Stegostoma tigrinum: one gene and its partner. The protein of the gene in region 1 purifies or fractionates together with the protein of each later gene. This does not show direct contact. Links are inferred from orthologs where the notes say so. Each region holds a gene or a part of one and is shown in the gene's direction. Other genes may lie near its edges.

What was found. Proteins that work in one complex are often made in the same cells at the same time.
Region 2: the proteins of dgcr8 (region 1) and srpk2 purify together in Homo sapiens (affinity purification with mass spectrometry; 3 studies listed by BioGRID and IntAct, with this or other methods). This does not show direct contact. The link is inferred for Stegostoma tigrinum from reciprocal best matches to the Homo sapiens genes DGCR8 and SRPK2.

The regions. Positions count from the first base shown.
Region 1 is NC_081379.1:5,877,126-5,884,626, reverse strand, and holds the start of dgcr8 (microprocessor complex subunit DGCR8), read left to right. Parts: upstream 1-4,426; 5' UTR 4,427-4,723; intron 4,724-7,129; 5' UTR 7,130-7,429; coding exon 7,430-7,501.
Region 2 is NC_081378.1:22,540,319-22,547,876, forward strand, and holds the start of srpk2 (SRSF protein kinase 2), read left to right. Parts: upstream 1-4,517; 5' UTR 4,518-4,598; coding exon 4,599-4,614; intron 4,615-4,827; coding exon 4,828-4,888; intron 4,889-7,558. UniProt on the Homo sapiens protein: Serine/arginine-rich protein-specific kinase which specifically phosphorylates its substrates at serine residues located in regions rich in arginine/serine dipeptides, known as RS domains and is involved in the phosphorylation of SR splicing factors and the regulation of splicing.

The DNA.
Region 1 (7,501 bases):
GATGCTGGGTAATTATTAGCAGTTCTATTTAAACCTAAATAACATGATGTGTAAAGAGCTCACTAAGATGGACCTCAGGAGATTGTTGATGGGGACATTACAGAATTATGTTTTATGGGTAATGAAAACATGGACAAAGATTTCCGTGTCAGTAACAGGTGAGACAATGATAGAAGACCAATATTGTAGCAATGGAATAAATAAAATCTGAAAATGTTGGAAAACAGAGCAGTTAAGAAAGGTGATGTGGCAGGTGTTGCATGACTGGCTGACCTTTTCCAACATTTTCTCTACTGTAAGGAACCGTATATTTTTCCCTTTTGCACTGTAAACTCAAATGGAAGTTGGACCACAATATAGCTGAAATATTAGAGTTTTGCAATTTAGAAAAATTAAGTGGTGTACATTTTTGACTGTGCAAGAGAATTTTGCAGTTGGAGCAATGAGTTTGATACATTATTCAATCTGTGTGGCACAAGGAATTTTTGAGGTAGGGAAAATCAGCCTGGTGACAGCCTTCATATTGTTCAAGTAAAATCAGAGTAGCCAGAGACCTCCAAGCCAACGAACTGAAAACATCTCTTTCCCCTTCTCGCAGTACAATTGGAAAGGAAATAAAACCAAGAAAACTTAAAAGAAAGAACTTTAGTATAAAAGACATGGGTCCACCAAATCAACCATCAAATGAACAATGAACATCGCTTTACAGACAGCAGTGTGTCAATGTTGCTGAACCAGAAAGCGGTGGCATGGTGGCTCAGTGGTTAGCACCACTGCCTCACAGCCCTACGATCCCGGGCGACTGTCTGTGTGGAGTTTGCACATTCTCCCCATGTCTGTGTGGATTTTTGCTGGGTGCTCTGGTTTTGTCCCACAGTCCAAAGATGTGCAAATTAGGTGGACTGGCCATGCTAAATTACCCATAGTGTTCAGGGATGTGTAGGTTAGGTGCATTAGCCACGGGAAATACAGGGTGACAGGAATAAGGTGGTTGGGTCTGGGTGGGATGCTCTTTCAAGGGTTGATGTAGACTGCAATTTTCTGCTTATTAAGGTGAAAGTGACGAGTGGTGTACTGCAGGGATCAGTGCTTCGACCCTACTATTCACAATAGCTGAGAAAACTAGGTGTCATATTTCTGATGAAGCGTCTAGGCCCGAAACATCAGCTTCTGTGCTCCTAAGATGCAGCTTGGCCTGCTGTGTTCATCCAGCTCCACACTTTGTTATCTCGGTGTCATATTTCCAGGTTTTCAGATGACACAAACCTGGGTAGGAGGCTATGTTGTGAGGGGGATGCAGAGAAGCTGCAGTGCAATTTGGAGTAAGTGTGCATGTGACAGATTGAGTATAATGTGGATAAATGTAAGGTAATAAAACTTTGGTAATAAAAATAGGAAGGAAGATTCTTATCTGAATGACAATAAATGGGGAAAGAGATGCAGCAATGAGACCTGGGTGTCCTTGTGCAAAGTCAAATGGTCTGCTGGCCTTCACAGCGAGAGGATTTGAGTACAAGAGCACTAATGTCTTGCTGCAACTGTACGGGGCATTGGTGAGACCACACCTGGAGTATTGTTTGGTTTTGGTCTGCTTATCTGAGGAAAGATGCTCTGGATGAGGAGGTAGTGCAAAGGGGGTTTAGCACACTGATTCTTGGGATGGACAGACTGATGAGTGGGGAGATACTGGATCAGTTGGAACTATATTCACAGGAGTTTAGAAGAACAAAGGGTATCTCCTAGAAACTTATAAAATGCTAACAGAATTAGACAGGGTATATACAGGAAGGGTGTTCTTGATGGCTGGGGAGTCTAGAACCAGGGTTCACAGTGTAAGAATAAGAGAAAGATCTTTTCAGACAGAGATTAGGGGAGGTTTCTTTCACCCAGAGTGGTGAGCCTGTGGAATTCTCTAGCACAAGAAAGCCTTGAGGCCAAAACATTGAAGACTTTCAACGAAAATCTGGATACAGTTCTTTGGACTGAAGGGATCAATGAATAGGGGGAAAAGGCAGGAACAGTGTACTGAGTGCCCTTGCACCAATTCGACCACAGCACTTTCTCCAAGGCAGTTAGAAGTAGGCCAGCATTTATTGCCAATTTATCATTGCAGAGGTAAAGATAAGCGAAGGTAAGGTCATCACAGTCTTGCTGGACCAACAGTACTGCTCTCTAATTGGACAGAGATGTTGGCATTCTGAATTTGGAATTTGGATTTGCACGTATTTGGAAAGGCAAGCACCGATTAGGGATAGTCAACATGGCTTTGTGCGTGGGAAATCATGTCTCACGAATTTGATTGAATTTTTTTGAGGAAGTGACCAAGCGTATTGATGAAGGCAAAATAGTGGACATTGTCTATATGGACGTCATTGAGGAGTTTAATAACGTTCCACATGGTAGTCTGGTTAACAAGGTTAGATCGCATAGGATACAGGACGAACTAGCCATGTGGAGACAAAATTGGTTCAAAGGTAGGAGACAGAGAGTGTGGTTGGAGGTTTGCTTTTCGGATTGGTTGCCGGTGACCAGAGGTGTGTTGTGTGGATCAGTGCTGAGTCCACTGTTATTTGTCATTTAAATAAATGATTTGGATGTGAATATAATGTGGATGTGAGATATGGTTAATACGTTTGCAGATGACCCCAAAATTTGTCAGGTAGTGGACAGTGAAGAAGGTTGCCTCAGTACCATGGGACCTTGATCAGATGGGCCGATGGGCTGAAGAGTTGCAGATAGAGTTTGATTTAGACAAATGTTAGGTGCTCCACTTTGCTAGGACAAATCAAGACAGGACTTGTACACAATGCTAACGTTCTGGAGTGTGTTGCCAAACAAAGAGACCTTGGAATGCAGGTTCATAGTTACTTGAAAGTGAAGTTGAAGGTAGACAGGGTAGTGAAGAAAGTGTTCGCTATGCCTGCTTTTATTGGTCAATACATTGAGTACAGGAGACAACAAGGTGCAGAGCTGGATGAACACAGCAGGCCAAGCAGCATCAGAGGGCTAGGGGTCTAAGCCCGAAACGTCAGCCTTCCTGGTCCTCTGATGCTGCTTGGCCTGCTGTGTTCATCCAGCTCTGCACCTTGTTGTGTTGGACTCTCCAGCATCTGCAGTTCCTACTATTATAGAGTACAGGAATTAGGAGGTCATGTTGCAGTTGTGGAGGACATTGGTCAGGCAATTTTTTGGAGTATTGTGTTTGGTTCTGGTCTCACTGTTAATAGAAAAATGTTACGAATCTTGAAAGAGTTCAGAAAAGATTTACAAAGACATTGCCAGGATTGGAGGGTTTGAACTACAGGGAGAGGCTGAACAGGCTGGGACTATTTACCCTGGACCGTCAGAGGCTGAGAAGTGACCTTATAGAGGTTGCTAAGATCATGAGGGGCATGGATAGGGTGAATAGACAAGGTCTTTTCCACCGGGTAGGGGAGTCTAAAACCAGAGGGCATAAGTTAAAGGGAAAAGTTTGAAAAGGAACTAAAGGGCAACGTTTTCAAGTAGAGGATGGTGTTTGAATGGAATTAGAGGACATACAATTAGAGGTACAATTACAACATGTAAGAGGCATCTGCATGGGTATAGGAATAGAAAGGGTCTAGAAGGAAATAGAAAGAACTGTAGATGCTAGAGTCAGAGCCAATACAGTGTAGAGCTGGAGGACTATCGCAGGTCAGGCAGCATCAGAGGAGCAGGAAAGTCCACGCTTCAGTACTGGACCCTTCATCAGGTGGAGAGGGACATGTGCTAGATTAAGATATCTGGTTGGCATGGATGAGTTGGACTGAAGGATCTGTTTCTGTGCTGTACACCTCAGTGACTAGCGGCGGTTTAACTCGATTTGTCACCATAGTAACCTCAGCCTCTCTTGGCATCACATAAATCAACCAACTGAGCTAACCGAATACCACCCCCTTCCTTAATACCGGCGTACAAGTATTATGAATGAATAAAAACAAGCATTTCTCTATTTCGAAAAAAAAACAATCTCATCTCATCTCCCTTTTTGTAAAGCAAGACTATACCTATTTTCACAAATTCCTTCTCACTGCCATGGTGATTGTCAGTGGACTATAAAACGCATGCGCATTTGATGGGCGGGGACGAACCGATGATTGACATGAACTCCAATCTAGTGCCGTCACCGCGATGGTTGGTTGGCGATTGGTTAGGCCGTTCGTCAATCACCGACAGTCGCGCAAATATAGCGGCGCTGTCACGAGCTGGCAAAGAGAAGGCGGGGATAATAGGAACCGCCAACGCCGGAGATTTCGAGATAACAAGGTGGAGAGCTGGATGAACGCAGCAGGCCAAGCAGCACTTTAGGGGCAGGAAAGCTGACGTTTCGGGCCTAGACCCTTCCCGAAACGTCAGCTTTCCTGCCCCTAAGATGCCCCTGGGCGTGATGTCTTCATCCAGCTCTACCCCTCCTTATCAAAGAGCAAGCGGGTTCGGATGGCTGCTGATCGAGGCAATAAACTAGTAATGCGAAGCCTGTGGCGCATGCGTGCCGGGGGTGGCACGGTCCGTTGATGATTGACAGTCCGGAGACCCACCCCCCCTCCTTTACGCTTCTGTCGATTGGCTGACCGAGATATCAATCTTCAAGGCTGTGCATGCGCTTTGACGAAGTTGGAGCTGCGGCTGGTACCGGAGGTTTTGGGTGCGGGGAGGGCCGTGAAATTATCTGACTTTTTTTTCGATGTGATGAGCTTTTACGGTAGGATTTTAATTTTGCACTAAGCTAGCATAAATTTTAGCCTTGACGGCACTATTTATTTAATCGTTAACCATTAAACCACGGTTAGTCTCCGAGGAGCGATTTTGCGAAGTCAATACTTTGTTTCTGTCGAAGTCTAGGCTAGGCCTCAGATCACGCCTGGGGGAGGGGGCTCCTTCTGGCTTCTCGCTTAACTTTTAATGTTAAATTAGACAGAGGGGTGGTTTATACTGGAACTCAGTATCTCTTTTTAAGTCGGTGCAGGGATTTGTTTATTTTTAACTGAATCCCCTGGTTAGATCCGGGTTCGTGTTGAATGAGTGGAGCTGAATGAGTCTGATCAAAGGCCTGTTGCTGTGTGACTTCCATCGAGTTTAACCATGTTTCACCAGACGTAACGCTACAGCGAAGATCACTGAAAGGCTCAGCATGTTTGGAATTTATGAAAAGATCGATTCTCTTTTTTGTTTAGAAAAAGCTGTTAGGGAGCTAATATTTCGGAGGAAGTAAAGGGATTTGAGTTATCATACAGTCACACAACATGGAAACAGACCCTTCGGTTCAACCATAATGGCCCTTGCTGACCATAACCCCAAACTAAACTAGTCCTACCTGCCTGCGCTTGGCCTAAATCCCTCCACACCTTTCCAATGCACGCACTTATCCACATATCTTTCAACAGTTGTAACTGTACCCGCATCTACCACTTTCTCTGGCAGTTCACTTCACACATGAATGGCACTTTTTTAAAAAGTTGTCCCTTATGTCCTTTTTCTTAAAACCTTTTTCCAAACCTTTTCCTCTTACCTAAAAAGTATGCCCCCTTGACTTGAAATTCCCTGCCCTAGGGCAAAGATACCTACTATTCACCTTACTTGTACCCCTCATGAATTTATAAACCTCTATAAGGTCATCCCTCAACCTCGCACACACCAGTGAAAAAAGTCTTAGCCTGTCCTTATAACTCAAATCCTCCAATCCCACAATCCCAGCAACATCCTGGTAAATCTTTACTGAACCCTTGCCAGTTTAATAATATCCTTCATATAAGAGTGACCAGACTGGACAAGATACTCCAGAAGAAGCCTCATCAACTACAATATGATGTCCTATCTCCTATACTCAAAGGTTTAAGCAATGAAGGAAAGTATGCTAAATGCCGCCTTAACCACCCATTCGATGCAAACTTCAAAGAATTACCTGAAATTCTAGATCTTTTTGTTCTGCAACACTACCCAAGGCCCTGCTTTTATCTGTATAAGTCTTGTCCTTGTTGTTTTACCAAAACGCAATACCTCGCACTTCTCCAAATTAAATTCCATCTGCCCATTGACCCAATTGGTCAAGATCTCTTTGTAATCTTAGATAACCTTCACTGTCTACTATATGACCAATTTTCTTTCACTAGAAATAACTTTACATCGATTTCTAATGCTTTTTTTTCCTTTGATATATTAGAATATGAACTATTAAGTCAAAGTGTTTAGATATTTTGGAATCATCTAGTTATTTTTAAAGTCTGGAATGGAATTGTCAGGCTGAAATTTGATTAATCTGCAGATTGGATTTTTTTGTGCTGTGCTGCTTAATTCATTGTATCAAATTTGAAAATTATGATTTTTATATGTATAATTATACTTTGCTAGTGTAGTAGTGGCTACATTTGAATAACTGTGCTTTGAGAGGCTTATGATAAATATAAAATTCTCCCCTCTGTCAAAATGATGTATGTGTTTAATGTGTTCTGACATTAAGCATTTTCTACATCTTGATAAGTGAAGACTTAGATTTTGGATAGTTTTTTTGCATTACTATAATGTATGTATTACTTAATTGCTGACTACTTGCTTGCTGTTTGATGAATGATTTTAAAAAGGATTTGGCCGGGTTACAAGTTGTTGATTTGGCTGATTATAATAGTCTGAGATACTTATTCAGGCAGACTTGATACAAAATGAAAGATTGCTTTTGGAATAGTTTATTTTGGCTTCACCAGGGGGAAACCAAATAAAACTGGAGAATAAAATGCCTCAGCAAAACATAACTCTTTATTTAGAAATAAGAACAACGTAATCAATCTTGATAATACTTTTTCCAGTACTTTCAGTACCTAGAAACTTCAGCTCTGAAATTTTATTTGCTGGGTACTTGTGTACAAATGCTTTCATGCATTAGTTTAAAATGTGTTTCTCCACTGCATCAGTAAAGTTGTTAGTCCATTTATTTAATACTTAAAGTAGACGAGAATGAATGAATGAGCAAAAACAGCTTGAACAGAGAACAGAATGGAAATTGAGTGCTATGCTAATGCAAGGCATTATTCTAACAGCTAGAGTTTCTCCAGTAGTTCACACACAATCTTTTTTGGTTCAGTTGTATTTATTGCATTTTATTGTTTCTCTGCAGGTGATCAGTAGAAGATGGTGTCAAGGACTCAAGATGATGAATTCTATCTAATCGCAGGCGTTGATTAAGCTGAATACATTGTGATTTCCAATAATTGAGACAGTGATTCTAAAAGCTGTCTACTTTAATGAAAAGAACAATGTAGTCAGCTTAACTGAATCATCTGTAAAATTTGCTTAGTACCATAACTTTTGAGAAAATTTACTCGGACTGGCATATGTTTCTTTCTTAGTTGGGTATTTGACTAAGATATAATTTGTTTAGGACTCTTTATAGCTTAGAATTAATAAGTTTCGAAAAATGGAGACGTTTGGAAGCATGCCACCTATGCCCAAAGAGCCACTGAATGTGGAGAATCAGCCGTGTCCCCCA
Region 2 (7,558 bases), on another chromosome or scaffold:
CAAATCCAACTCAGCCAATTACTGCCTTCTCAGTCTACTTTTGGTCATCAGTAAAGTGATGGAAGGTGTCATCAACAGTGTTATTAAGCAGCAGCAGCTCAGCAATAACCTGTGCAGTGATGCTCAGTTTGTGTTCTGCATGGGCCACTCAGAACAGCCTTGGTTCAAATATGGACAAAATAAATGAATTCCAGCGGTGAGGTGAGAGTGACAGCCCTGATATTAAGGCTGGATTCAACCAAGTGTGACATTAAGGAGGCCTAGCAAAACTGGAATCAATCGGTATCAGGGAGCAATCTCTGGTGATTGGAGTCATACCTGACACATAGAAACATGGTCATGATTGTTGGGGGTCAGTCATCTCAGCTCCAGGACATCTCTGCGGGAGTTCCACACATTTGTATCCTAGGCTGAACCCATCTTCAGCTGCTTCATCAATGACCGGACCATCATAAAGTCAGAAGTGGGGACGTTCGCCTATGATTGCACAATGTTCACAACTATTCATGACTCCTCACGTACTGAAGCGTTCCACATTCAAATGCAACAAGATGTGGACAATATCTAGGCTAGGGCTGACAAGTGGCAAGTAACATTCACGCCACACACATGCCAGGCTGCAGGAATACTGCAACGGGTAACTCATGTCCTGACTTCCCAAAGCCTGTTCACCATTTACAAGACAAGTCAGGAATATGATGGAATACTCTCCACTTGCCTGGATGAGTACATCCCCAACACCGTTCAAGATGCTTGACATCGTCCAGGACAAAGCAGCCCGTTTGATTGGCACTACATCCACAAGCATCCACTTGCTCTACTACCATTGCTCAGAGCAGAGGTGTGTATTATCTACAAGATGCACAGCAGAAATTGACTAAAGATCCTCAGACAGCATCTTACAAATCTACGAATACTTCCATGGAGAAGGACAAGGGCAGCAGATACATGGGAACACCACTACCTTCAATTTCTTCTCCAAGCCACTCACCATCCTGACTTGGAAATATATCACTGTACCTTCATTGTCGCTGGGTCAAAATCCTCAATCCAGAGCAGGTGCTCTGCAGTAGTTCAAGGAGGCACCTCACCACCATCTTCTAAAAGGCAACTAGGAACAAGCAATAAATACTGGCCAGTCAGTAATGCCCACATCCCACAAATGAATAAAAAAAGTGGAGAGATTGTTTCCCTTTCTGTCCAGGTCCAGAGGGCATAATCTCTGAGCAAGAAATTGCCCATTTAGGACAGAGATTAGGAAGCATTTATTTGCTCAGTGGCTAGTGTCATAGAGTGTTACAAGTCAACAGCTCAGATAAAGGCTGAGTCTGTATTGGTCAAAAACAACTGCCTAACTACACTAATGTCACTTTTCGGCATTTGGCCCATAGTCTTACAAGCCTTGACATCATATGTGTACATCGAAATACATCTTCAAAGTTATGAATGTTTGTTCCTCGAACACCTTTACAAGCAGTGAGTTCCAGATTACCATCACCCTCTGGATGAAATAAAATTCCTCACATTCCCTGTAGGCATCCTGTCCCTTATTTTAAATCTATGCTTTAAATCAGTCATTGATTCCCCCAGCAAGGGGAAAAGTATTCTCCTGTCTATACCCCTCATAATTTTAAACATCTCATTTAATAGCACACTGTCTCCTCTTCGAGGAAAACAAACCATTCTATCCAATCCCTCAGAATCATACAGTCAAACAGCATGGAAACAGACCTTTCATTCCAACCACTGCATGCCAAGCAAAATTCCAAAGTAAACTAGTTCCTCCTGCCTGCCTTTGCCTATCTCCCTCCAAGAATTTTGATTCATATCCTTAGCCAAATGTCTTTTAAACATTTTAATTGAACCGCATCCACCACTTCCTCTCAAAGTTCATTCCATACATGAACCAATCTCTGCTGAAAAAAAATGATCCTCATGTCTTTTTTAAAATCTTTCCCTTCTCACCTTAAAATATGCCTCCTAGTCTTGAAACCCCCCCACTCTAGAGAGAAACCTTTCAGCTTATTCATATCCGTCGGGATTTTATAAACCTCTAAAAGGTCATTCCTCAACCTCCTACGCTTCAACGAAAACTGTCCCAGTCTATCCAGCCTCTCCTTTTAACTCAAACCTTCCATTCCTGGCAACATCCTGGTAAATCTTTCCTGAACCTCTCTAGCATAATAATATCCTTCCTTTAACAGGACACAGTGTTCCAGAAGAAGCCTCACCGACATCCTGTACACCTTCAACATGACGTGCTAACTCCTACAGTCAAGAGTCTGAGCAGTGAAGATAATGAATCCCTCCTTAACCACTCTGTCTATATTGGACGCAAACTTCAAAGAATTATGGACCTGAACTCCTAGGTCTCCATTCTACACTACTTCTGTATACAAGTACATAACTCATGAAAGGTGGTTGGACATGTTGAAGAAAACAGTTAAAGTATGTGGGCGGCCCGGTGGTTAGCATTGCTGCCTCACAGCGCCAGGGACCTAGGATCAATTCCACCCTTGGGTGGGTGATACCCAAGGCCCATCTATTAATTGTATAAGTCCTGAACTTGTTTATTTACCAAACTGCAATACCTTGCATTTATCCAAATTAAACTCCATCAGCCACTCCTCAGCCTATTGACCCAATTGATCACGATCTGTTTGTAACCTGATGTATCCTTCTTCACTATCCACTATACCACCAATTTTAATGTCATCTGCAAACTTACTAACCATACCTTCTGTATTCTCATCTAAATCATTCATATAAATGACAAACAAAAGCGGACCCAGCAACAATCCCTGTTGAACACCGCTGGTAACAGGCCTCCAGTACAACAATCAACTCTCTCCGCCACAATTCTGTGTCTCCTGTTGTTAAACCAATTTTGTAACTAATTGGCAAGCTCATCATGAATCCCATGCTATCTAACTTCACTAATTAGTTTACCATGCAGAACCATGTCGAAGTAAAAAGTCCAAGTAAACAATGTCTATCACTCTGCCCTTACCAATCTTCTTGGTGACTTCTTCAAAAAACTCAATCAAGTTCGTGACACAAGATTTCCCTAATGCAAAAATATTGCAACACCCCCTCCTCTTATCTTCTTGTGTTTTGTCTGAAGACCCTAGACTCTCCAGTATTGAACTGTCAATTCTGCTCCTGTCTCAACCATGTCTCAGTGATAGCAATTAAATCATCCCCCCTTGTTTTACTTCATGCAATCAACTCATCTGCCTTATAAGTCAGACTCTTTGCATTAAAATAAATATCATCCAACTTTGCCAAGCTCCCTTGTGCCTTAACTAGCATATAATTTCTATGGATTCCTGACTTCCTTGCTATCTCTTTTGATTTTGGTTCCCCATTGGACTTTCTCTCTGGATCGTACTGCTCTGCCAAGTTAGTTTAAACACTCCCCATTAGCGCTAGCTCACCTGAATCTGTACAATTCTTTACTACATATGGCTGTTGCAGCTGCATTAGTAAGTATATTCAAGTCGGACATGTACAGATTTTTAATCAGTAAGGATATGGCAGGAAAGTGGAGACAAGAAATATGAGATTAACCATTTTCTCAATGAATAGCAGACCAGAGTCAATAGGCCAAATGTCCTACTTCTGCTCCTACAACTTATAGTCTTACTCCCTGTTCCTATGACCTGCAGTGGTAATATGCATATAGCAAAAACTTGTATTAACATAGCACCTTTAAAATGATAAAAACATTCAAAGTAAGTTGGCAATAGTATTACAAAGTAAAATGATGCTGAGCCACAAATAAATCTCCTAAAGGAGAAAAGATAGATGGAGATAGAGGGTATTCTGAAGTTCAGGGCCTTGGCAACTAAAGGCAGGCCATCAGGAGAGGTATGATTAAAATTAAAGATGCCCAAGTGATCAGAATGGAAGAATGCAGACTTCTCAGAGGAGCATGAAGCTGTAAAAGATTACTCAAATATAGAATTCTGCTGTTAGAGATTAGAAAATGTTTGCCAAATGATTCTTCCAGTACTTACTTAATACAAATGAAGTTTTAAAAAGATAACACAGAAGGAAACTTTGTAAATCAGCTTTGATTGATGTACAAATATACCAGACATTTGGTTAAACAATATTTTACATTAATGGAAAATAAGTTGAAGAACAGTCAAAGAAGGTTGCACACAAGTCCACATCTTTGACATTGCATGAACGCAATATTTTTAAAATAAACACAGGTAGTAAAGCAAATGAACATGATTATCAATACATCAAACGACGGATATCTGTGTTGCTTTACATCTCAATGTGAAACAATTTATTTACTCATTCAGGGTTAAATGATAGATTTTTACGTTTCGTTTGTTGTTAGGAACGTTGTCTTGTAAGGAAACCGAAATATTTATGTTCGAAGCATGCACAAACAGAGGGAGGTGTAATTATACCTTTTGCTTCTTCGATGTTTGAATATATATTATAGGCCCTTTAACTTCCGAGTTCCCATCTAAGGCACGTGACGTTAATTGTGTACCGGTCGTCCAGTTTCCTGTGCTCGAGCGCTGGGAAGTTGACGGTTGCGCCTGCGCGCGGCTCCGCGAGGACAATCCTGCTGGAAAATGAGTTCCAGGAAAGGTGAGGGGAAAAAAATAGGAATTAACGCGTTTGTCCACTAGTCTATTTAAACGTCAGGCACTTTTCTTTTTAGAAAGGAACACATCACAAATAGAAACAAACCTCCTTACATTACACGATTGCCTGGATATTTTGTTTTGGTTGTTAAGTGCTAGGTATATTTAAAATTATATTTATATAATTTCCTCCTTGTTTTCCGTCTTGTCTTGTCAGTCCTGGCTATTCAAGCTCGAAAGAGGAGGCCGAAAGGAAAGAAAGAGAAGGCTCATAAAAAGTGAGTAGTGCAGAGTGTGGCTTGTGTAAATTGATGCTGCTTCTCTGCTCTAGATGTTTCGGGATCTGCTAACGGCGCTTTGGTCTTGGGCAGAAAAAAAGCTTTATTCATTGAATGATGGCATAATTTTTAAAAAAAACTCGATATTTGTGCTTATACACTATTGCATCCTCCGTGATGTTTATTCCATTGCTTGGTCCTAACATACGTTTTTAGAAATGACGGCCTTTTTGTTGGCATTTTGTCTAATCTGGGCTTGACCGAATTTGGTTTAAAATATCCAGTGTAAGTTAATTGTTTTGAGAAAGTGCCATCAACTGTAATCAACTGTTAAGATGAAGTCTGCTTTCTTCGGTGTGGATAGGAGTTTTCTTTGTAAACTATTGACATTCTCATGTAGTTTTGAGATGTGTGAGCCATTCAGATTGGATGTGCATGTTATGTCACTTCGGTATGATTACTTGATGATCGTTTTGTCTCAAACATAACAGCTCCTGTTTTTAATTTGTATTGTACTGTATATTTTGTTAACATTGATTTAATGTTCTATCTCTTCCCACTATCACTTGGCCCTGTGCTGCATCACATAGTGGAATTATCCACTGAGCCATGAGGGAGTGATGATGATTGGTTTGGTACTTGATGGAAATTCATTTAGTTCTATGGTAACTGCATTTGTGTCTGATGCCTGTGCATTTCCTTAATATTTCAATTTTCATCCGTTCCATGCATGACCACACAATAAAGAGAGGAGGCAAAACTTTTGTCCTGGAGGAGAGATTGAGTATTATTGGTATTCATACTGATGACATTTCACTCTTGTAACAACAAATTAATTTTGTATACAAGTCACTGAATGCCAGTAACTTGTTTGATTCTAAATTTGAGGCTCATGTAGTTTCAAAATTTCGTGCTAATTATATTTGTAAATTTGTGGAACATCTTTGCTTCTAAAGCAACAGTGAGAAGATTTTTTTTCAGTGCATTGTTGCACGTGTGTGTTTGTGTTCTAGGGGTGAGCTTCATTGAATCAATAGTTTAATATATTCCTGGCATTGTTATGGTGCTGAATAAAATATTCATCCATTGACCAACGAGGTATGAATAAATTCACTTTGGCTCGAAGTTGGACCTTTTTAATGTTTGAACCAAACTGGTGTGTAACTAGTACCTTTTTAATCAGAACAAATTAAAGTAATAAAAGTGCAAAATACTGCTGATGCTGCAAATGTGAAATAATAACAGAGAATGCTGGAAATACTCCTCAGGCCTGGCAGCAACTTTGGAGGGAGAAAGAGAATGCCATTGACTTTAAGCATTAAGTCAATTCTGGGGAAAAAAGTCAGACATTTTTGGTTTTAAACAAGTGTAGAAGTGGAGGATGGTTGCCAAGTGCAAGAGGAATGTCCTGTGGCTAAATGGAAGACAGAAACAATTCAATGATGAAAAGACTAGTGGTACTAGGTAAAAAGAGATGTCAAGGAAATAAAGATGAATCTATTGTAGGTGTAAATGGGGGGGAGGGGAGGCGGGGGTGAGGTCACTGGTGCAGCTTTTGCCTGCTCTTAACGTTTCCAGCATTTTCTATCTTTTTTTCATGTTTTCATCCTTTTTTTCTTGCTATTCCAATATCTTTTATTGGTGTTGCTTCTTGCTCAAATCAAGAATTATGTAAGTGATCAGTTGCGAACAACAGGCTTTAATTAGGTGATATGAATTTGCTTAATGTTTTGAGTTCTTTAGCTTAGGTCTTGCTGTTGGATTACTTTTATATTGGCGTTTAGGTTGGAATCTGGATAGCTGATATCAAAAATGTGATTAGAAATAATATTCTCACTAAAGAATGCCAGATCCTTTAGTTGGTGTTTCCCACCCAGAAATTCAAAGCAAGTTAGTATGAAAATTGCAGATGCTAAACCATAATCTTCCTGATCTGTCTTCATTCAGGAATTCTTTTAGGTTTGAGAATTGAAAAAAGAACTCCATAATTTAAGAGGTGAGAGAGCAACCAGAAAATTATAGACCTGTTTAACATTGGTTGTGGGAAAGTTATTGCAATTCGTAATTATGCTTGGGAGAAATATAAACTTAGAGAGTCATAGCGTCATACAGCATGGAAACAGATGCTTTCGTCAACCGTCCATGCCGAACATAATCCCAAACTAAACTAGTCATACCTGCCTGCTCCCTGGCCCATATCTGTCCAAAACTTTCCCATTCATGTACATATCCAAACATTTTAAATGTTGTAATTGTACCCACATGCACACTTCATCAGAAAGTTCATTCCACACGTGGACCACCGTCTTTGTTTGAAAAAAAATTGCCTGGTCTTTTTTTAAAATCTCTCTCCTCTTGCCTTAAAAATTGCCATCCTAGGCGTTAACACTATCCACGCATAGAACATAGAACAGTACATTACAGTACAGGCCCTTCGGTCCACAATGTTGTGCAGGCCCATTATTCTAATAAGATCAATCTATCCTACATACCCTACATTTTACTATCCTCTATGTGCCTATCCAAGAGTCCCTTAAATGTCCCTAAAGTCCACAATGTCCCTTCGGTCCACAATGTTGTGCAGGCCCATTATTCTAATAAGATCAATCTATCCTACATACCCTACATTTTACTATCCTCTATGTGCCTATCCAAGAGTCCCTTAAATGT